Linked DNA regions of Nothobranchius furzeri. The protein of the gene in region 1 purifies or fractionates together with the protein of each later gene. This does not show direct contact. Links are inferred from orthologs where the notes say so. Each region holds a gene or a part of one and is shown in the gene's direction. Other genes may lie near its edges. The genes, in order: srprb, rnf185 and srpra.

Region 1 (7,479 bases):
GCCATGGCCCCCCCTGGCAACCTGTTGGGGGTGCCACTGCATAAATGTAGGCAATAAAAGACATTTGCATAAATAACAAAAACATTGCATTGTTATATGATTATGAAAACCAAACAACCTAAAGCAGCTAGTTTAAAGGTGGAATTGCTGCATTTTTAGCAGGATGACAATCTGGTGTGAGTTAGAGGCCTGTGTTATTTAAAGATAAGGAATATGTCTAAAAACAAGCTTCACTACGTGTGTGGAAACGTACTACGGCAAGAACAAATGAGATTTCTGAGCAGCCTGATGCTTATCAGGATGGAAAAAGGTTACCACCGGTCAAACAGATTATGTACAGCTGGAGGAAATTCAAGAACGTTTTTAGCCTCCCAGGAGCAAACGGTTGATCAACAGAGATCACTTTAAGAGCAACGCGTTTAAGGCCCATTGGAGCCACAAGGAACTTAAATGCATTAAAATCTCTCTGAAATGGATCAATTAACATCGGGAAAAACTTGAATAATTTGAACCACAGAGTGAACGTACCACTGGGATTTAAAAAAAGTCACTACATCTGGACAAATTTGAACTTTTTGTTTAAAAAAGGTCTTCAAAAACATTCTGGAAGCTTATTATTAACTAATTAAATGTGTTTTTAAATAGCCTTGCTGCAAAGAACCCTGATGTGGGGAAGTGTCCTCTGAATGCAGCCGTCTGGACGTTCTACATCTGCTCGAACCTTGTGGGACAGAATCATTTGACACTTCTCCTCACCTGGTTCCTATCTGCTCTGACGTCCTGCCTCCACCCATCAGCCTGGCCCTTCGTCTCATATGGAGACCATTCCTTCATGCTCTTTAGACCAAATGGCATAAGATAAACAGCTGATTACTTCTTCACACACCTCCTTTGGTATTACACAACCAACAACACAGCTGCGTTATTACATCCTATGGCTGCAGCTGTGTGTTCGTGTCTGTGCTTATTTTATTAGACTTAGAATGTGTTTCCGTGGTAAATCCCTTCCTCCAAATGAAGAATTCTGGAAAACGGAGCAGAGCGGTAAATATGACCAATAAGCAAAACTCGTCTGAATGGGTCAGTAGATGTCTGTAAAAAGCCACCAGGCCAGCTGAATCATTTTAATAGGAACAGTTCATACAAGCGTGGATTTTAAATAATGTCAGTCAGCAACACACTCAGCCTCTTTACAAGTCCCTGTGATGTTTAAAACATGCAAGGAAAGCAGCCCTGCCTTGAATCTCCTGCCACAACTCCGGCTCATTTTCCTCACGCTGACCGTTGTGGCTCGACCCTCCGAGTCTGTTTTCAGCTCAGAGTCTGCGGTCTGTGGGATTCATGGAGCAGCGCTGCCCAGTGCCGAGAAACCAGCTACTTTACAAGCCGTCCCTCAGGATGCTGCCCCTTAAATATATTTTGTTCCTTCCTTTTTTGGGAAGTTTTAGCCATGATGATATTCAAGGAGGCAAGGAAACTGACTGTGTTGTAAAAGAGGGATAAAAGTGAGAGAGAAGATGACGCAGAAGAAGAGGCATCTTCCAGAAAGGTTAAAAACCTACAAAACTAAGATCCTCACAGAATTTCTTCACTAGTGTGATAGTGAGCTCTCCATACCGACACCATCAAATGAAAAAAAGGGCTCTAATGGTGGAAAAGCTGTCCACTGCTGCTACGACAAACAAAACCTGTTAAGGAAAATGAGCTTAATTGTCCCAAAAAAGGAAAAGATCAACTCACCTTCATGACACTCATCTCCCACAAACCCAGGACAGCATCTCCACTCCAGTGAGGTGATCTGTTTGTAGGTGATCTTGAATAATGGCTTGATGACAGTCCTGTAGCTGGAAGAACAAAGGGGAAAAACTGCTATATTTTAGGGAAATTCCAGATGTGCACAAACTTAAATGCACAGATGTGATCAAAGTGACAAAGATCTGTTTTAGATTTAGCTTTGTTTATACACAACACAGCATTAGCTCTGCTAAGATCAACCCTTTCAATCTCAGAATGGGTGCAAATGATTCATGACAGTTTCAGGGTGTTTTGATCACTAAAGGAGCCCTGCTTCATTTCCCTAACTGACTGTAAACAGGAAACCAGCAGCACTGGGAGCTGAAGGGGGCAGACCAGTGAGGACTCGGAGGGTACCTGATGACTTTGGCACATGGTCCCGGCCATCTGCAGCCCAACACTCTCTGCACGGAGGTTTCGGTCCCGTTGTGCACTTTACATGGAACAGTCCTGGAGACGGTGTGCTGGCACCAGTTCCTGCGATGCACAATGAAAGAGATCAAAAGCAACTGGAAGTAACCAGTGCGATAAAAAAATGCTCCACTCAACACCAACAGAGTTTGCAGAAAGTGTAAATAAAAAGTGTACCTGAGTTGGTTCCGGGATCCAGAACCTGGTGGACCCGTGGTTCGGCTCTGTTCCGACTTGATGCGCGGTCGCTGCAGGCTGATGCCTGGAAAGTGATAGATGAACCCAGTTCCGAGGGAAGCGCACACTAAACTCACCCACACGCACAGCGCGTAGAGGTAAGACAAAGCCATGCTCTCTGAATGACAGAAATATTCAAAAGAAGTCGATGTTTTTCAAGTAAATCCGTCTTTAATGACGAAAAAACTACAGTACTTTCACAAAGAGGAGTAATCTAAGCAGATCCCGCTGAATCCATCAGTGGGGGTTTGTCATTTCTTGTTCCGACGAGAAACAAGCTGCCCCCCTCAAGAGCCCGTTATGAAGGACACTCAGCCATTTCCTATAGAATAACTTCTCTCTGACGTTTGACATCCAACCGAGGAGTCAAATATCCAGTGTGCGTAAAAAACGTGCAGACTGTGAGGGCTGGAGACGTGCGTAAAAACGCATCTGGTCTCAATTGAAAACAAAAATAAAATAACAAGATTCCATGTTACAAAACTCATGCTTTTAGTCTGTTTCACATTTATACCTTGATTGTTTTCACATGAGGTCTTCTACAGAAACATCGGCAAGGTTGGGAATAAATGAGGACTAGAAAACACTTTCTGTTCGCTTTTTCAAAAGGACTCCAATAAAATCTAACCTATATGCGGTAGTTCGCCTTTAGCTACATATAATACAGTTTAAGATGATTTACAATTATTAAAAATAAAAATAATAAATAAATGCACCAAACTCAGAAATAAAGCTGAATTTTTATTTATAATCTCTTTTCACTTCCCTTCACGTGAGGCCTACAATGTCTACTTAGTTTAAGAGGGGAAAGCTATCTTTTTTACAGTATGTTCCTATTAAAATGTACGTTCCAAAAAATATAGATAGTTGAATTATTATCTCAGAGTTATCACATATTTCATACTTTTATTTGGGGAAATGGATTTGTAAAAACATGAAAAAACATGTCTCTTACTTCTTAATGTTCATAAAGTAAAACAAAATAAAATCGAAAGTGATATTCATTTTTTCCGAGAGAAAACTCTTATTATATTTATGTGATTATTATTATTGAGCAGCAGCTCTGCAGCGCCCTCTGCTGTTCACTCAAGCTCGCCACAGGCTCCAGGAAGCAGACGTGTCCAATTTCAGTTACGAACAGCAGCAGTGGAAACATGGGCGAAAAAACACACAAGGACTCACCTGAAAACCCGTTTGAGCCTTTTATTGAATCTCTCCGTCAGCAAGTTGAAGACCAAGACCCAGTAATTCTGATCGGAGTAATCGTAGCTTTAGCGGTGGTTGTCATCACCTGCGGTAAGAAGGAACCGTAAGTTAGCTTAGCATGCTAGCTTTAGCAAACTAGCCTTAGCGTGTAGGCTAGTATCATGCCGTTTCAAAGCGGGTTTCTCAGTAAAGCTGGAAAAAACGTTTTCAGTGTGTTTACAAAATGCTCAATTAACACGCAAGAACAATAAAATAATATCTCTTAGCTGCAACAGTGTAAGGAGTCATTCAACTTCGGTTTTAGCTAATAAAAATATTGAATAAATAACAATCCTTTCCACATTTCCTCTTTAGTTTTCCTGAAGTATTTTCTAACCAGTAAAACAGTCCAGAGTGCCATTCTGTTGGTCGGATTATGTGACTCTGGGAAAACCCTCCTGTTTATTAGGGTGAGTTGATGTTGGGACCACCATGGCCACGTTAGCACTGTCTTTCCTTTTCATTAAAAGTGTTTTATTTGTTTCAGCTGCTGTCAGGGAAGTTCAAGCGGACACAGACATCCATCACTGACAGTAGTGCGCCATACAGAGCTAAAAATGAAAGGGTAAGTCTTCTTTTCCTTCTGCATCAAAGCATAAAACTGTTATTATAGGTTGACAATGATTGACAGCTCTGTCCATAACTTTTAGAGCAGCTCCTGGACACTGATTGACCTGCCAGGACACGATAGTCTCCGGTTTCAGTACCTGGAGAAGTTCAAGTCTTCAGCCAGGTGAGAACAGCATAAGTGCATGGTTCAGTAATCTCTTCATTGGTGCTTTTAGCATATTTGTGCACAGTTTTGTTGCAATGCAACAACTCTTTTCCACTAAATAGGATTTAAAACCAAAAAAGAATCAAGCCTAATTATTTCCTCATGAGCCCATTCTCATCACCACTCTAAAATCTTACCCTTTCTTTCTGCAGAGCCATTGTGTTTGTTGTAGACAGTGCCATCTTCCAGAAGGAAGTGAGGGACGTGGCAGAGTTTCTGTACATGCTGTTGACGGACACCGTGATCTCCAGAAACGCCCCGACTCTTCTGGTGGCGTGCAACAAACAAGGTGAAACAACCTGTTTACTTTAAATAAACAACTTAAATCACCTCGTTGCGTCAGTCAAACTAAACCGCTCTTCTATAAACTGGAAACTCTTCTGCTGCTTTTATTTTGATAGACATCACCATGGCCAAATCAGCTAAACTGATTCAACATCAACTGGAAAAGGAGCTGTAAGTAAACCTAATTTGATCAGATTCCTGATTATTTTTAGCACAACTGTTATAATCTCTTTTAAGAGAGATTGCGAAGTCACATTTATTAAAAAATACACGAATGAGGGAGATGCTGCAATCTTTCTAGGATGTAATTCTAGACAAAATATTGTTTTTGAGTGGCTTCAGACAAAAAAATTCACAACCCTCTTTAGTCGTTGAGGATAAATAAATATCCCATTTAGTCTCATTAACAGCACTTTTTAAAAATCTCCTGGCCATTACACAAATCAAAGTCAACATCAAACTCATTCCTGAGGGTTAAAACTGCTGAATGGAATTCTGAGAATGTCATTTTTCTGACAGAAACACCTTGCGAGTGACTCGCTCGGCAGCCCTGAGTGCTCAAGACGGCTCTGTGGGCGGCAGCGTGTATCTTGGGAAAAAAGGCAAGGACTTTGAGTTCAGCCAACTGCCCATGAGGGTGGAGTTCCTGGAGTGCAGCGCCCGGAGCAGCAGCAAAGGTGAAGAGGGGGAAGCGGACATCGAGAGCCTGGAGAAGAGCCTGGCTAAGCTATAAAATCAGCAGCGAGACACAATCGGCGTACAACTTCAACAGGAGTGACGGGTCACCCTGCCCGACGTAAAGACATTTGTCCTCGTGTAAAAGTAATCAGATTTACTTAAAGCTTGTCTGAGCTGTGAAACACTGAAAATAGATGAGCACGAGCAGCATTTCAGTCTTTGTTATTCATATAAAATGTTAAGTTTGCAGAATAAGTGTTCTTGTTTGAAAGTGTTATATATGAATACAGTGAATTTAAGAACATAAGTTTATTGCGCTTAAGTTTGAATCAAACTTCTTTATTAAATAAAAAAAAAAACAGATGAGACAGGTTGATTAACATTTAAGCACAAAAAATACGTTTTCTCCTCAAGCGTTTACGTTTCAACCAAGTTGTGTATGTTTTAAGCAACGTGTCTCCCTCAAGACAGATGTGGGTTTTTTGTTAGAATAGCTGTGTTCAAATATCTTCTAGAGCAGCTTTCTTTGAGCTTTTGTTTTCTGACATCTGGTGTGGATTCAGAAGTTTTGTCACTCTATAAAAAGAGCTGCAAACTTCAGTTAAACATTAAAAACATGTTTCTCCAGTCAGATGTGGTTGTTTTAAATGTAATTAGTGTGAGACAAATGGTTTATTTTACGAGATGACATGTTTAAAATACCACACAGCGTGTTTTTATGTTAAGGACTGATGTTTCATTCACATCACATTTATGTGATTCTTGTCTGCTGTTGATCTGTGGTGTTCTGTTTGCTCAGACGTCCCGAGTGTTAAAATAATCCAACAAGTCAACAGAAGAAGACATAAATCTATGGCTGAGACAGCGGATAGACCGTTAGATTAGCACTCTGATCTGCCACTATCACATTTGGTTCTCCTTTCAGAACCACAGGACACAACCAGTTCACTTTGTCCCCATGACTAATGCTCAGTTTGGGTCCAGACTCCTCTTCCTCATTTGCAGATGCTTCATCTTCCACCTTGGCCTCTTCTTTCAGCTTTGATTTATCCAGAGTCTGGTCCTTTCTCTTGACCTTGCCTTTCCTCCGCTGAGGAGCTGTTGTTGGAGTTTTTCCCTCTGGAGACACAACCGGGTGCTTACTGAGGTCCCACAGGGCCACGTGGCTGTCGTTTCCTCCTGTGACCAGCCAGTAAGGGTGGGAAAGGAAACTAACAAAATGAGCTTGTGAAGCTCCCTGACTGTGTGCCTTGATCGCCCCGTGTTGTTCTAATTTAGAGCCACTGCCGATCCGCATCAGATGCACCCGGCCGTCCTCGGCTGCGCAACCCAACATGTTTCCGCAGCTGGACACAGAAACACAGTGGGCCAGTGGTGGGTTAAACAGCTGGCCCGGACGCTGCTGGTGGCCGTCTTCTTCGGCCACATCCTGGAGGTTGATGGTCCAAAGAGGGCGAGTCTTCTGCAGACCCCACAGCATCACCTGAATCAAAAACAAACTCTTCTAGTTTACAGTTTTTGTGCAGCGGTTGAAAACAAACATGATTCCCTCACCTGCATGTCCAGCCCAACAGACACAAGGTTGTTGGGTCTGTGAGGACGGAAGGCCACTGAGGAGCAGATGTTTGTGTGTCTACGTAGAGTCCTGCACACTTTCCCACCAGGAACCTCCAGAACGCGCACCGTCCCAGAGTCATCAGCCACTGCCAAGGCAGAACTGGTTTCATTCAGTGCTAAAGCATTAATCTCCTCCTCGCCTGCTCCCTGAAAATCCTCCACAGGTCCTTTCAGGTTCTTGGGGTCCAGCACGCTCACCGTGTCCCCATGTGACACAAACAGCTGGGTTGGGCCTGCAGGTGAGAACATCACGCTGGTGATATCCTCTTCTCCAGGAAGAGTAAGACGGCCAATGATGCCACCATCTTGACCCCAAATGGTCACCTCTCCACCCTCAGCACCTGAAGCAAGGAGACCCTCTGGGCCTGAAGACGCACTGACGCAAAGGATGGAGGCGGAATGGCCCTCCGACCACTGCTTGGCCATACTGCCTACAT
Region 2 (7,479 bases), on another chromosome or scaffold:
AAGTTACATTCAGCATGAGGAAGCTCATGGAGAGAGGTTTATGAGCGACACACAAAGTAAGTATTCAAATATAATTCATTTGATTTTCCTTTTTAAAAATCTGTGTGATATGTAGCTGTCTAACAATAATATTTTGTTTTATATTTTAGAAAAACCAACAATGGCGTTGGATTATGTTGATTATGAAGATTACAGAGGCAGCAATGAAACAGAGAACATCACAGACGACCGCGAGGCTCCTGATTTCAGCAGCTCCCAGTCCTCCTTGATCTATTTTCTTGTGGCTGTCGATATCATTACCTCAGCTGTTGGTCTTGTAGGAAACCTATTAGTGATTTGGATCTGTGGGTGGAAAATGAACAAAACAGTCCTCACTACCTGGTACACCAGTCTGGCTGTTTCAAACTTGTTCTTCTGTGTTTTTCTGCCCCTTGACATATTCTACATAATGACCTCACATTGGCCTTTTGGGCAAGTTTTGTGCAAACTCTCATCATCCGCTCTGTTTCTCAACATGCACAGCAGTGTGTTTCTGTTGGTTTTGATCAGCGCTGACCGCTGCATCTTGATTTTATTTCCTGTGTGGGCACACAATCACCGGACAGTGAAGAAAGCTAACGGAGTGGTCGCTCTCGTGTGGCTTCTCGCTGCCCTGCTAACGTTGCCCTCGCTCATCTTCAAGGAGACCAAAGTCCACGGTCCAATCATTCAGTGCCACACGGAGTATGGGAGTCGTTCCAGACACAAGGCAGTGGCGCTGATTCGGTTAGTCTTTGGATTCCTAATTCCTTGCCTGATGATCGTGTGCTGCTGTGTGGTGCTTGGAGTGAAGCTGAGAAGTTTAACCATCAGATCAAAAAAGCCTTATAAAATCATGGTGGCGCTCATCCTGTCATTTTTCTTCTGTTGGATCCCTTATCATACCTTCATTCTCCTGGAGCTGGACTTTAACAAACACAGCCTGAATGTGCTTGAATCTGGCCTGAAAGTGGGGGTCGCCCTGGCTGCGTCGAACAGCTTCATATCCCCCATTCTCTACGTTTTTATTGGCAGTGACTTCAATCAAACTCTAAAGAGATCGCTGACCTCAAGGTTTGAGGATGCGATGGCAGAAGATCTGCGTACAGCTGGTTACAACCAGTCAATGTCCAGGTCAATGGAAATCCATTAAAATTAGGCTGATACGTTTGTCTTTAACTTAAATTAGGCCTTTAGTGTGCCTAAAATGTAATTATTAGAGATGAGGAGAATAACCGTTTCTCTCATCAAAACAAATACTATTGTAACGGAGTTGAAAACAACTTTTAATCTTGTATATTAGAACAATAAATAAGAAAGGAATGAGAAATAAGACTGTTTCTACAACGTGAATGACTTTTGTTTGTTTTATGTTGTTTTTTTCATGTTTTTGCTAATTGAGGGTAAAAAAAAGAATGTGGCAGCATTTATGATGATTTATTTATAATTAATGTTATAAATCGTAAATTAATAATTTACTAACAAAAATAGATTGTGCCTTTGATTTGTGTATCTGTTTTCATAGAAATAGAAAAGAAACAACCAACTGTGATTGCTGTTGCTTTATGGGTGCGATGGATCAGCAAAAATTACTTTTTAGACATAGTGTCGAAATAAAATTTGTGATTTTTTAAAAATAAGCCTTACCTACAATAAACATTTACAATGATGAAATTTAACTCATAGAAAAAAATTAAAAAATACCAAATATGGGTTGTGCCTATACGTGAGGATTTATTTTTCTCAGCTTTGGGATTTGTGTAACATCTTTCATGAAAATAACTTGGTTTTTGCTTAGAAACAATACTGACATATTTAAAATAGTCAATAAACATGAATTTTAAAAATTAAAAACTAAGTTAAATAGAATATGCAAAATTCTGAGTTTAAGGTGCACATCAGTTTCTGCTCAAAATGGGTTAAATCATTCCAGAATATCCAAAAGAAATTCTCAAAAAAGCTGATTTAAAGTTTCATTCTTGATACGACAAAAGGAGCAAAGAAGGTAAAACCCTTATTTGTTTTATTTAAATTTTATGACTGAATTAACAATATACCATCTAGCAACTAGGGCTGCATGATAGAATAGATTGCGATATCGGCATGTGCAAAACACGTATCACAATGAACAGAAAACATCACAATAAATGGTCAGCTCAAATGCTTGCTACACATAATGCATTTTGTCAATCAAACAGAAGCATATGTTTTTGACAGATCAAATAGAGCCTTACCTATTTGGCATATCGGGTGGATTCTATAGGTTAGATGCCTGCCCCCTAGGCGGACGACACTTGACTTTGATGGCTAACATACAAGTTAGCTTTGTTTTGCTCTTTCTGCTGATTTAGCTTTTCCCAGGATCTACTGATTGCCTTGTCTTATTAGTTGTCTTTTCCTTTTTCCTCACATCTTTTGATCACAATTTTTGCTTTGCCCATTTTCTATATTTTTCTATTTCGTTGTATTTTTTATTTTTATTTATTTATTTTTGTTTATTTCTAGTCATATCATCATGGAGATATTAATCGCTGTTATCGCGCATTGCAGGTTTTCCTAATATCGTGCAACAGTACTAGCTACATGTTTCTGGGATACCCCCGTATGTACAGTCTATGGATACCCCTCAGACAAACATTATCTTGGCGCATAAGCAAAAAATCACTCTTATAGAAGGAATTAAACATCAGTCTACAACCAACTTCTTCACAAACCTATGTCAGAAACAATAAATTCCATAATTATGAGAAGACATTGTTTGTGCAACATTCTCCATCACAAGAGTAACTATTAGTAAGTTTTTTGTTTTTGTGTATCTACTTTTCTTTACGTCACTAATCCGGACACAAGGTAACCCCACCCCCTTTAGAAATAGCCACGCCTTTTAAAGAAACAGCCACGTTTTTTTTTAGTCCTACTCTTTTTTAGGGCTAACACCCTGCGGAAGTGTTGCAACCAGCTGTAAGGCTATTTTCGCAACAAGTCATAATTAAGTTTTAATGAGGCTATGTTACAAAATGTATGTTGAAATATTCCTTTAGCCACTGTAATAATTGTATATGTGGTTCGGTTTACGCCTCAGTTCGTTTAGCCTTTCTCCTAGCTTGCTAGCTGCTAACGGTAGCATAGCTATCAGATGACACAAAGTTAGCTTTTCCTTTCTTTTATTCAGGTTTCTTAGTGGGAGACCACTTCTGTCAGTTCCTGTCACTTTCTTATGTGTTTGACAGGAACGAACAGAGCCATCCCAACCGTATTAGCTTGAATATTGGACCGACTTTTAGCAAATAAATGGCCGCCGCTGCCCCCTCTCCACCAGTCTCTGGCTCCACCGTCTCGGCTCCTGAAAACTCCGGCCCGGGATCCAGTAGCTCGGCAGCGGCCGACGGAGGCAGCCAGGACAGCACCTTTGAATGCAACATATGCCTGGACACAGCGAAGGATGCCGTGATCAGCTTGTGTGGCCACCTTTTCTGGTAAGATTTAAATATGTTACTTATGTTTACATTGTGAAATCAGAAACCACCTCAGTTTTAGCGGCTGGACACAAGTGAACTAAACTCAGCAGTACAGCATGAACCAAAATGTTGTCTCCGGTTTTACCACTTCAATTAAACTGTGCGGAAAAAACAGTTTTAAGTTCTACCAGGTCTGTCTAAGAAGAAAGTATCATTTCTATAGCGCCTCTCAAGATAAAAATCACGAGGCGCCTATGAGCCATTTATATTCCTAACATCAATAATAAAAATACTTATTTCACAGTTTGCTTCAGCAAAAATGTTTGAAGATTGCACGAGAATACAGTTTCACTATTGTTTTTAGTGTTTTTCATTTTATATGACTAATCAGAAAAAGTTTACATTTTTTTAAAGTTCTGGAACATCTAATTAATCCTCTTATTTTGTCAAATAAAGTGGCAGTTGCCAATTTACTAGCTGATTAGGTAACTTATCTGTTTTCTTTTAGCTGATGTTTTTGTGAAATCCTTGAATCTCTTTCAAAACAACATTTTAGTCATTTTTATGTCCAAAAATTTGCTGATGAATTAGCAGCCAAAGTGGTCTGATCAGTGTTCATACAAAGTAATTATTTGTTAATTTTCTCTTAAATGTTATCCAGTATGTTTGAATTAGTATGAAATATTCAAGTAGAATTAGTGTTTATTTTTATTGTCCTTAATTGGGGTTTTTTTGACAAGCAGTTTATCTAATGTTTGTTTTCATGAATATTTTCCAATGTGGTTTTTTTTTTTTTACTAATCCTGTTTTTTTTTTTTTTTTCACTTCCATGAACTTCATTTGCTCCTGATGTTCAGCTGGCCATGTTTGCATCAGGTAAGCCTGACTTAGATTTTTTTTCATTTACAAAGATGTTCCCCTAGCTAACCCGTTGACTCGTTAACATCCGTTTATCTTCATGCAGTGGTTGGAGACTCGACCCAACAGACAAGTGTGTCCGGTGTGTAAAGCTGGCATCAGCCGGGACAAAGTAATCCCCTTGTATGGGAGGGGAAGCACGGGTCAACAGGATCCTAGGTAGATGCTAAAAAGTGTTGACATGATTTATTGTGTCATCACACTTCTACATTAACACACTTGTGGTGCAAGAATTATCATTATGTTAGTGTTTTACGGTGTATATCTGATTTGATGCTTCAAAGGGAAAGGACGCCCCCTCGACCACAAGGACAGAGACCAGAGCCGGAAAACCGTGGTGTAAGTACACAAACAAATACATCTGCACAGTTAAACCATCATTGTGAATAACTACATTAAGTTTCGTGTAAGCTCTAGAGTATTATAATGAGCTCATGATGAAACCGTGAGTCAAAAATGATGTAGGTGCTGCCGTTTAGACCTGTTTTATTCATGACTGAAAAGCCATTTCCCTCTGGGACCCATTACTAGTGAACAGCTGAGATAAAGCCCCTCATGAGAATCACTACAACTTTTACTGCTCATTGTGTCACACTTTTTTTTTCTTACTTTGTTATATGACACGTTTTCATTTTTTTCTAAAAATCCCTGCAGGGATTTCAGGGATTTGGCTTCGGAGATGGAGGTTTCCAGATGTCCTTTGGAATCGGTGCCTTCCCGTTCGGTATTTTTGCCACGGCTTTTAACATCAATGATGGACGACCTCCTCCAGGTGGTTACACATTTCCTCTGTGTTCTTTCATTTCTTATGAAAACAATTTACCCAGTAACTTCTGTTGAACTTTCACCCACACAGCAGCTCCTGGGACGCCGCAGCACACAGATGAACAGTTCCTGTCTCGACTCTTTCTGTTTGCTGCTCTGGTCATTATGTTTTGGCTGCTGATTGCATAAATGCATGGGGGGAAATGACAGAAGTGCGGCTTTGTGAGGTTTCCGTCTCTTAATCTTTGGCAAAGTTTGGACATTTAAACAGCAGGTATGATAAATGAACAGGCTAAAGGTTAAAGCTGCAGACTTTTTGCTGCTCCGAAGGAAAAAATGCATGTGAAGATCGGGAAGTTGTGTATTCTCTTCACTTCTTGCTGCAAAAATCTCAGAAATGAATTAATGAAAAAAATATATATTTTGACTCACTGGTTGAATAACTACTTTGTAATCTGCACAAGAGCAACCAGACACTGACTTGTGAATCTTCAGCTATTTATTGTGAAGCAAAAATAATTTTTTGCACAAAACTTTAATGCAACTTAATGATTCTAATGATTAAGATGTTTGTTTCCTGGAGAAATGACCAATAATACCTTTGTGTTTTTGGCCAATAGCAGCTAAGCTAAACCAGTATCTTAGCCGATTTTTTTAACTTCTTTCAGATGGAAGCGAAATTCAAAGAACTTTATTTCAAACAGTGTTCGTCTCCAGACTTTATAATCTTTTATTTCTACTCCAGTTTCTGTATTTCACTGTAATTATATGTAAAATATTGTAGACTTCATAATCAAAATGAAGAATGGCTGCTGGAAAAAACATGTTTCCGAATGTGAGTTTTTTTTTTCTACTGACGGTGAAGCTTTGTGTGATTTTAATTTGGGTTCATTAACTGTGTATTCTACAAAAGTGTGAAAGTGCAGGCTAGAGACAGTTCAAGATTTGTCCTGTGTTCCTGCCGCTGTCCTTTTCTCTTGACTCTCATCAGGTGAAGTGCTGAATTCTGCTTCATACATGATCTGCTGGATCTTCATCTTTGTTTCGCACCTGGTCTGGGGTGCGAGTCGTTTCAGAGCAGGAACGAAGCTCAGCAGAAACAGTTCGTCCTCGTCCCGCGGCCTGGACGAAAACGAGGTGGTGTGGTCTTTCAACAGCCATTTTGATTGGGAGTGTGTACTTTGAGGAGAAGAGGGTGATGGCGGCTCAGACATGATCTTTCGTTTCTGTCCGTTGTTGCTGACCGGGATCACCTGTGGGCCGGGGGGGGTCTTGGCTACGACGGCCAGCTGGATATCTTGAGACAGAGCAGGAAGCTGCGTCACAAACGCCACCTGGGGCTTCGCCTCAGGCAGACTCAGCGCTACCTTAGTGATATTCTGGGGTGTTTTGACAGACTCGGACAGAGTGGTTTCCTCATTTCCCAATACGTTGTCAGGGTTTTTACGTTCTTCTTCGGTGTTGCCACACATGTCAGTCACACCAACCCTCGATCCAGTGAAGGGGGCAATAAAGTTCATGAGCTGTCGGTATTTCCATTTACTTTGCACAAAACCCCCCTGCTTCTTGGTTTTGATCTCTAGTCGAACTTCCTTCAAGTATCGGTCTCTCAAATTTTTCCATCTTTTTTTGCACGCATCACCTTGAAAAGATAAGAGTCAAGTTAGCCTACTGCACAAAATGCACCCTAGATGTTCAATACAATGCACACTGAGGTTCGAAATGCTAATGCTGTGGTTAAAGCATTGGTGATCGAGTAGTCCTTGAAATCAAACAGGTGAGCAGATGATTATGTTTGTGAATCTTAGTCAAATTATAATGATAAAAACTTCAAATACGTATAATATTTGTGTCTGGGAAGGTTTGAGACGATCTTAAAACTTTTTGGTGTTTATCCAGAAAAAAAATCTGTTTACTAAAGTTAGTGGTGGTGAGTTCAGGTGAACTGGGTTTAAATATCTTTTTGGGGCCAAAAGGCAAAACACATTTTACCTAAGTAAAAACCAGGCGGCATTGTTACATAACTGTTAATGTTGGGTCATCGTTTTTTTCTTCGTGTTAAATCTGTTTAGTTGCCGTGTGGTAGTTGCCCTTTCTTTGGCCCTGAGTTCACGCTCCTGGTTCTGGTTCCGTTTGAGGCTGGGGGGCCTCCGTCCTGTCGCGCTGCCATGTTTTATCCTACGCACCGTTCCTACGTGGCTCCGTTACCGTCTGTTTTCTATTTTCGGGCTCATGTGTTGAAAAACACGTAGTTCATTAAAACTATTGGGCCCATGACGCACCGCACGTCTCCTTGCTTCCTCCGCGGCTAGCTTCGCGG
Region 3 (6,548 bases), about 17 Mb from region 1:
GATTAATTTCACTGTTCCACAAATGGTAAGTCATTCTAACTTCAGCCTTGTGGTGTGCTGCTGTGTGCAGGTGGGTTTTCAGAAGATCCTCACGTTGACGTACGTGGACAAGTTTATAGATGACGTCCAGCTTCACTTCAGGGATCGCTATAAGAATGAGCTGGAGCAAAAGGGCACTCTGAAGCTTCTTAACAGCACTTTTGCGTTTGAAGATGCATTCAGCGAACTCCTCAAGTAAACAAGACCAATCTGACTTTGCACACAGCTTCTGTTGAGTGTAAAAGGGTCCTTTCAACTAACCTGGTCCAGTTAGTGTAATAGGAAATTTCCAGCTACATCTAGACCTGATTACCATCAGACCTGTAAGATTAAGAAACTACTTTAATATGACCTGCCTGACAGAACAAAGTAGGCTGAAACGTCTAGCAATGTTCAAAATCAAAGGAACGACATCGGTTGAGGTCAGAGTTAATGTTTCAAAAGTGGAAAATACTTGAGAATCCCGCTGATCAGGTTCCTGATTGTCTCCAACACATGCTACTCCAGGTTGCTCATTTTCCCCTAAAAGAAAAACAGTCTGACATTTGTGGTGTGGTATTTTACAAGTGCTGACAGCAGATTTTAAAGCAGCAATACATTCAATTCAAGTTCAATTGAATTCGAGTTTATTTATAAAGCGCCAAATCAGGACTAGAGTCGTCTTAAGGCACTTCACATGGTAAACATTCCAATCCAGGTCAGTTCATTAAGCCAATCGGTAAAATGTTTCCTATATAAGGAACCCAGCAAATTGCATCGAGTCACTGACTAGTGTCAGTGTCTTTACAGCAATCCTCATAGTAAGCAAACATTTAGCGACAGTGGAGAGAAAAACTTCGTTTTAACAGGAAGAAACCTCCAGAGGATCCTGGCTCAGTATAAGGAGCCATCCACCACGACTCACTGGGGATCGAGAAGACAGAGCAGGCACACACACACACACCCCAAGTAGTGTTTCTATGGCTACATTGTGATTTCTTAGTAAATATTCTATTTGGTGAGAGGTAAACTTTATTGTATTTATCCTAGTGAATCTATAATTAAACAGGTAAACTAGTAGTAGCACATCCAATGTCAAAGAAAGTAAAATGTTATTATCAGGAGAGGGAGAATGTTTAAGTGGTTAGCAGCAGTATTCAAGCCAATGGCCCCCTCCACGAGGCCACCACAGCTCAGCAGAACATCGTCGTGGCTTCTTCTGGGGAGAAAAACACTTAGAGAAAAAAATAAAGTTAACAGCTGAAATAGCATTCCTTGCTTCTCCCTCCTACTGGTTGAAAGCAGAATTGTAATTGCTGTAAACAACTCTGCTGCAGCCTGCTGTAGCTAGCGCTAACATTAGCAACTGCTACTAAATGGAAACATGAAGCAAAACTCTGTTGGACAAAAACTATTATGACTTACAAGTCTAGTAGCAACAAAGCCAGGTCATCATCAGTCTGTGATTTCATAGCCTCCTTCAGACCATCGGTGTAGATTAGCTCTTTACACTGGTGGGGACTTATAAATCTACCCCTTTATAAGTCAAAAATGTTTCAAATATTTCATGTGTCAGGCTTTAAATGATAAACTGTCTCTAAAGATAAAAGTCTGAATGGAAGTTGGCGAGCGAGAGAGAAAGAGAACCATGTGACACTGGAGGAATTGTTGGCTCTTTGAGTCTTGTGTGGTTATGTGTCTTAAAGTGGAGAAAGTTCAGAAAAGGGTTGAGTGATCATAGAAGACAAATGAAAGATAACTTTACAAAGTATCGCTATTGCCAGGTGAGGAAAGGATGGATGCCTCAGCTGAGACAGTATTTTATGCCAGCAGACAGTCGGATGTGTTAACCGGATGTAAAATCATCTGAAATGATGTGTTTCACTAAACTAAGTCTTTCTTTGTCCTGACCAAAATCAACCAACACAAGACTGGCGGAGGAGAGCAGTAAAGCTCGGAGCCCCGTCCCCATGAGGTCCTTTAAGGAGTCCGAGAAGTCCCAAAAAACTGTGAAGTCAATGATAGAGACTAAGGGTGGAGACAAGGGCAAGGAGCAAGGTGGTAAAAAGAGTAAAAATACCAAAAAGGAGGGTGAGTGCTGTTTGTTACGAGTTGTAGTTCGCATGTTTGGTTCGTTGCTTCATTCAGTGGCGAATGTGTTGCAGCTCCTGCAGTTGAGCCTATCAAAGCTGATCAAGGCAAGATCACAGCTGCTGACCAGAAGACGGTTGTTAACGGCAACCAGGGCTTGACTCCTGAGGAAATCATGCTGAAGAAAAGGGAGGATTTTATCCTCAAACGCATGGGAACGTGTGAAAAACCCAAGTATGGCAGCTTAATTAAAGGTTTAAAGTCAGATAGAAAAGAGGATCTTGTTTTTAATTGCTTTCTGGTTTTGTCTACAGAAAGTCCCCGAAGCCTCAAAAGCCAAAGGAGAAACAAAAGCGCGTGTGGGACAATGCTGGCAGCAGTGACAAGAACCTGGACTACAGCGACAAGAATGGAGCCGGTTCTGGAGATGGAGAAAAGAATCTGGAAGCACAGTTTGACCCAGTATGTTCCACCTCTAAAGAGCTTGCTGTAGGAGCAGAAGCGTCCGCTTCCCTCACGATGAAGAGGGTGCAAATAAAGTTCCTGAATGTGTTTTAGGAAATGCAGGTCAGCTCTATGAAAGGAGACCTGCTGTCTGTGGACTACGACTCCAGCGAGAACGGGGAGGAGGAGGAGGAAGAAGAGGAGGAGGAGGAAGAAGTGGTCATTAGGGGAACAAGCAAAATAAGGTACTTTTTTTTTACTTTATAGTTGAAAAATAAATTGTCAAATCTCAGTTGTTAACTCTTCTTCTGCCCCCCCCCCCCCCCCCCCCCCCCCCCCCCAAAAGCCCTAAAAAGGGTGGTGGTTTTGGGGGGATGTTTGGGATGCTGAAGGGACTGGTGGGCTCCAAGAGCCTGTCCCGGGATGACATGGAGCCAGTGCTGGAGAAGATGAGAGACCACCTCATTGGTAAGATTTTTTTTCCACCCACTCTTTGACTTCTGCAGACTGCAACATTTCATTCTTTGCTAATCAAGGCTGAGCAGTTGAGCAAAATTCTATTTCGAGTTTGATTTTAACTCTAAACTTCCACAAACAATTGCAGAAAACACATTTTACTCAGCAGAAATGATTCCTTTCTAATTACTCGCATTTTGCCCCTTCTGAAAGTTAAGCTCATGTGTTTGTTTGTTTTTTGGCAGAACAAGGGTAAAACACACAGGCATGGTGTCATGCACCCTCCTTTTATCAGTAATGACCCCCACACAACCCATTAACCTTTTTCTGTATGGTTCTATTTCCAAACAGCTGACCAAACACATTTTTTATTTACCAACTTCCTGTTTGGACATCTGGGCTCCTGTAGCACTTCTTCTCTGTTTTAATAGCAATGCTGTTTGCACTTGTTTTTATTCATGTGATAGATAAGTCAGGTTGAAAATTGAGGGTTTATAGTGTCTAAAAGTCCAAATATCAAAACAACATTCCCCCTAAACTCAAACTGGTCTTTGTTTGTCTTTATGATTCCACAGCAAAGAATGTAGCGGCCGACATCGCCTCCCAGCTGTGTGACTCTGTTGCCAAAAAGCTGGAGGGCAAAGTCATGGGCACGTTCACCAGTAAGTACCCCATTTACCCCGCTCACAACTTAAGAATGACCTTTTGGATCTAGACTCTTTTACAACAACAATGATCTCAGTTAAATAAAGCTGGTCTGTTGTGACGTCATCAGATCCAGTTTGTGATCACATTTTATGTCAATCCATTATAGTTATGGTCTCTAACAAATGGTGTGTGTGTGTGTGTGTGTGTGTGTGTGTGTGTGTGTGTGTGTGTGTGTGTGTGTGTGTGTGTGTGTGTGTAGCTGTGGCCTCAACAGTAAAGCAGGCCCTGCAGGACTCTCTGGTGCAGATCCTGCAGCCCAAACGCAGGGTGGACATTTTGAGAGACGTCATGGAGGCCCAGAGTCAACGCCGGCCTTTCGTCATCACATTTTGTGGTGTCAACGGAGTTGGGAAGTCTACCAACCTGGCAAAGGTGACTTTGATGGTTTTATGGTACTTCTAGCTTGTTGGAGTCTATATTTCTAGAGTTGTTTAGGACTTGAGTGAGTGACTGAGGGCTAGTGTGGACACGAGCATAAACTCCTCCCTGTCCTGGTGCAGATCTCCTACTGGCTGATAGAAAACGGTTTCAGCGTGTTGATTGCAGCGTGTGACACCTTTCGTGCTGGAGCTGTAGAGCAGCTTCGTACTCACCAACGCCGCCTGAACTCGCTGCACCCCCCGGAGAAGCACGGAGGACGTCCGGTGGTCCAGCTCTACGAGAAGGGCTATGGGAAAGATGCTGCTGGGATTGCTATGGAGGCCATTGCTTATGGTAAAATATTTAGCCCTTTTGTTGGTTTATCTCATCCTGGCCTGCCAGACTCGTCCTCTGTCTACACAGAGAACTTCCCATAAGGAAGCATGGGGCTGGCTGGTCAGGCTAGGTTTATCTACCAATGAGTCATTAATCTCCAATAATGAATCAGTGATTTCCTCTCATGGCTGTTGGTAAAAGTCCCTCTTTTGTTTTGCCTCTCCATTAGCTCGCAACCAGGCTTTTGATGTGGTGCTGGTGGACACCGCTGGGCGTATGCAGGACAACGCCCCGCTGATGACAGCTCTGGCCAAACTCATTGCAGTCAACATGCCTGATTTAGTGTTGTTTGTTGGGGAAGCTTTGGTGGGCAACGAGGCAGTCGATCAGTTGGTAAGATCACCGATAATCTTAAATGACTTGGTTATACGCATTTCTGTTGGTGGCTAAATTCAAATGGGTAGTTACAGATTTCCATTCGGGAAGTTTATTAAAAAGTGTAACGTCTTGTTTTCCAGTAAAAACCAAACTGCTGATAGTTGATCGTTTATATACGGCTGTGGATGAAATCATTGGTACATTCTCACTGAAAGAAAATCACAGTGGTCGGTGAAATACCTCGAAAATGGCAAAAGTAATAAATAAATAAATAGAATTTACTACAAATTAAAAATGTATGCTTTTAATTTGGGATTTAACAAAGCAAAATAAAACTGGCCATTTGTGAGGAAGTCACCGTGCCTTTTGGTATCGGGGTGTGTACCACACTGGTTATGAAACACCGAAGGCTAGAGGACCGTGTCCAAGCAGCTACAGGCTAGAAGATCCTCTCTAAACAGTGTGATGTTTCTATGGTTACAGGCGTGTATTATTCAGAGGTTTAAAGGCCCACAGGTCTGTAGTTAATCTCTCTGGCTGTACACAGTCCAAACCTTGTTGGCAAACTAAAGACACGGATACTGAGTGGTCACCAAAGACCTTAGAACTCCAAAGTCTAGGCTAATCATTGTCAGATCACTCCATCAATCCCTGTTTGAGCCAGAGAGAAGACGACTGAGGAGGACGCCAGTGTCTCAGTCGCTGTATTGGGTCCTCTCCTCGGTCAGGATAACAACCAAAAACACTTTAAAGCCTCTAAGAATGCTTCAGAACCACACATGGAGTTATTCTGAAGTGACGTTCTATGAGTCCTGATCTGAATCTGGTTGGATATCTGTGGAAGGAGCTGAAACATCTGGAACCCTTCAGTCTGAGACAGTTGGAGCAGTTTGCTGTTGAAGAATAAACCAGATGACCTGAGAAGTGGTGCAGATGTCTCACGGAGTTCCAGAAATTACACGATTCTCACAAACAGCAAATCGGTGGTCCCATCATTTCAATCCAGGACAGTTTCATTACCTTGTTGAGTCTGGCAGACCAGGCTATCATTCAATATCCCTGAGATTGTTGGACTGTTGTCATGGTGACGGCAGTGAATAGAGATTTGAGTGTTTTGGGTTCCTTATGATAACTGTCCAGCAGAGGTCAGCATCACCCCCTTTTAGCTGTTTTTCTGTTGATTAGTTTGTGTTTACACAGGTGTGTGTGCCTCCCTTCCCCTTCCTTTAAATAAACATCACCGGCCTTTTCAGCCGCGTCCTGATCAAATTTCACCTGCATCATTCTGTTGTCCTCAGGTAAAGTTCAATCAGGCGCTGGCAGACCACTCCATGTCTGACAAGCCACGCCTGATCGACGGAATTGTTCTCACGAAGTTCGACACCATCGATGACAAGGTTTGATATTTTAGTTCTTCCCCCGCACTACTGGTGATGTTTATGAACGCAGTCTGGTGTGTTTTTGCTGCTAATGTTTGTGTCTGGCTCATGATTTTGCAAGTAGAAAGCAATAGCACCTTGAGCGTCATCTCCTCTTCCTCACAGGTTGGTGCAGCCATCTCCATGACTTACATCACAGGCCAGCCCATCGTGTTTGTGGGAACAGGGCAGACCTACAACGACCTGCGTAGCCTGAACGCCCGCGCCGTGGTCAGCGCCCTGATGAAGGCTTAAAGTTGTCTGCATGTTCGGTTGTTTCCAAGGAGGCAAACTAACTTAAACGTGATCCAGGATGTCTCACCCATCTTTTCACATCTG

Evidence for each region.
Region 2: the proteins of srprb (region 1) and rnf185 purify together in Homo sapiens (affinity purification with mass spectrometry; 3 studies listed by BioGRID and IntAct, with this or other methods). This does not show direct contact. The link is inferred for Nothobranchius furzeri from reciprocal best matches to the Homo sapiens genes SRPRB and RNF185.
Region 3: the proteins of srprb (region 1) and srpra purify together in Homo sapiens (affinity purification with mass spectrometry; 6 studies listed by BioGRID and IntAct, counting the BioPlex papers as one, with this or other methods). This does not show direct contact. The link is inferred for Nothobranchius furzeri from reciprocal best matches to the Homo sapiens genes SRPRB and SRPRA.

Annotation. Positions count from the first base shown.
Region 1 is NC_091753.1:42,153,061-42,160,539, reverse strand, and holds srprb (signal recognition particle receptor subunit beta), read left to right. Parts: upstream 1-3,376; 5' UTR 3,377-3,596; coding exon 3,597-3,738; intron 3,739-4,002; coding exon 4,003-4,097; intron 4,098-4,174; coding exon 4,175-4,252; intron 4,253-4,337; coding exon 4,338-4,420; intron 4,421-4,614; coding exon 4,615-4,751; intron 4,752-4,863; coding exon 4,864-4,918; intron 4,919-5,266; coding exon 5,267-5,480; 3' UTR 5,481-6,056; downstream 6,057-7,479. Other genes in the region: col26a1 (collagen alpha-1(XXVI) chain), read right to left, coding at 1,741-1,844, 2,152-2,271, 2,383-2,555; wdr53 (WD repeat-containing protein 53), read right to left, coding at 6,276-6,908, 6,980-7,473. UniProt on the Homo sapiens protein: Component of the signal recognition particle (SRP) complex receptor (SR). Ensures, in conjunction with the SRP complex, the correct targeting of the nascent secretory proteins to the endoplasmic reticulum membrane system.
Region 2 is NC_091746.1:52,068,019-52,075,497, reverse strand, and holds rnf185 (E3 ubiquitin-protein ligase RNF185), read left to right. Parts: upstream 1-2,885; 5' UTR 2,886-2,979; exon of another isoform or gene 2,980-3,248; 5' UTR 3,249-3,309; coding exon 3,310-3,494; intron 3,495-4,333; coding exon 4,334-4,352; intron 4,353-4,440; coding exon 4,441-4,553; intron 4,554-4,678; coding exon 4,679-4,733; intron 4,734-5,048; coding exon 5,049-5,166; intron 5,167-5,250; coding exon 5,251-5,348; 3' UTR 5,349-5,983; downstream 5,984-7,479. Other genes in the region: chemerin-like receptor 1, read left to right, coding at 1-56, 150-1,171; transcription factor Adf-1, read right to left, coding at 6,098-6,801. UniProt on the Homo sapiens protein: E3 ubiquitin-protein ligase that regulates selective mitochondrial autophagy by mediating 'Lys-63'-linked polyubiquitination of BNIP1.
Region 3 is NC_091753.1:25,184,898-25,191,445, reverse strand, and holds part of srpra (signal recognition particle receptor subunit alpha), read left to right. Parts: intron 1-70; coding exon 71-234; intron 235-1,948; coding exon 1,949-2,109; intron 2,110-2,183; coding exon 2,184-2,343; intron 2,344-2,423; coding exon 2,424-2,571; intron 2,572-2,667; coding exon 2,668-2,798; intron 2,799-2,899; coding exon 2,900-3,021; intron 3,022-3,584; coding exon 3,585-3,671; intron 3,672-3,916; coding exon 3,917-4,089; intron 4,090-4,217; coding exon 4,218-4,431; intron 4,432-4,642; coding exon 4,643-4,806; intron 4,807-6,089; coding exon 6,090-6,188; intron 6,189-6,335; coding exon 6,336-6,464; 3' UTR 6,465-6,548. UniProt on the Homo sapiens protein: Component of the signal recognition particle (SRP) complex receptor (SR). Ensures, in conjunction with the SRP complex, the correct targeting of the nascent secretory proteins to the endoplasmic reticulum membrane system.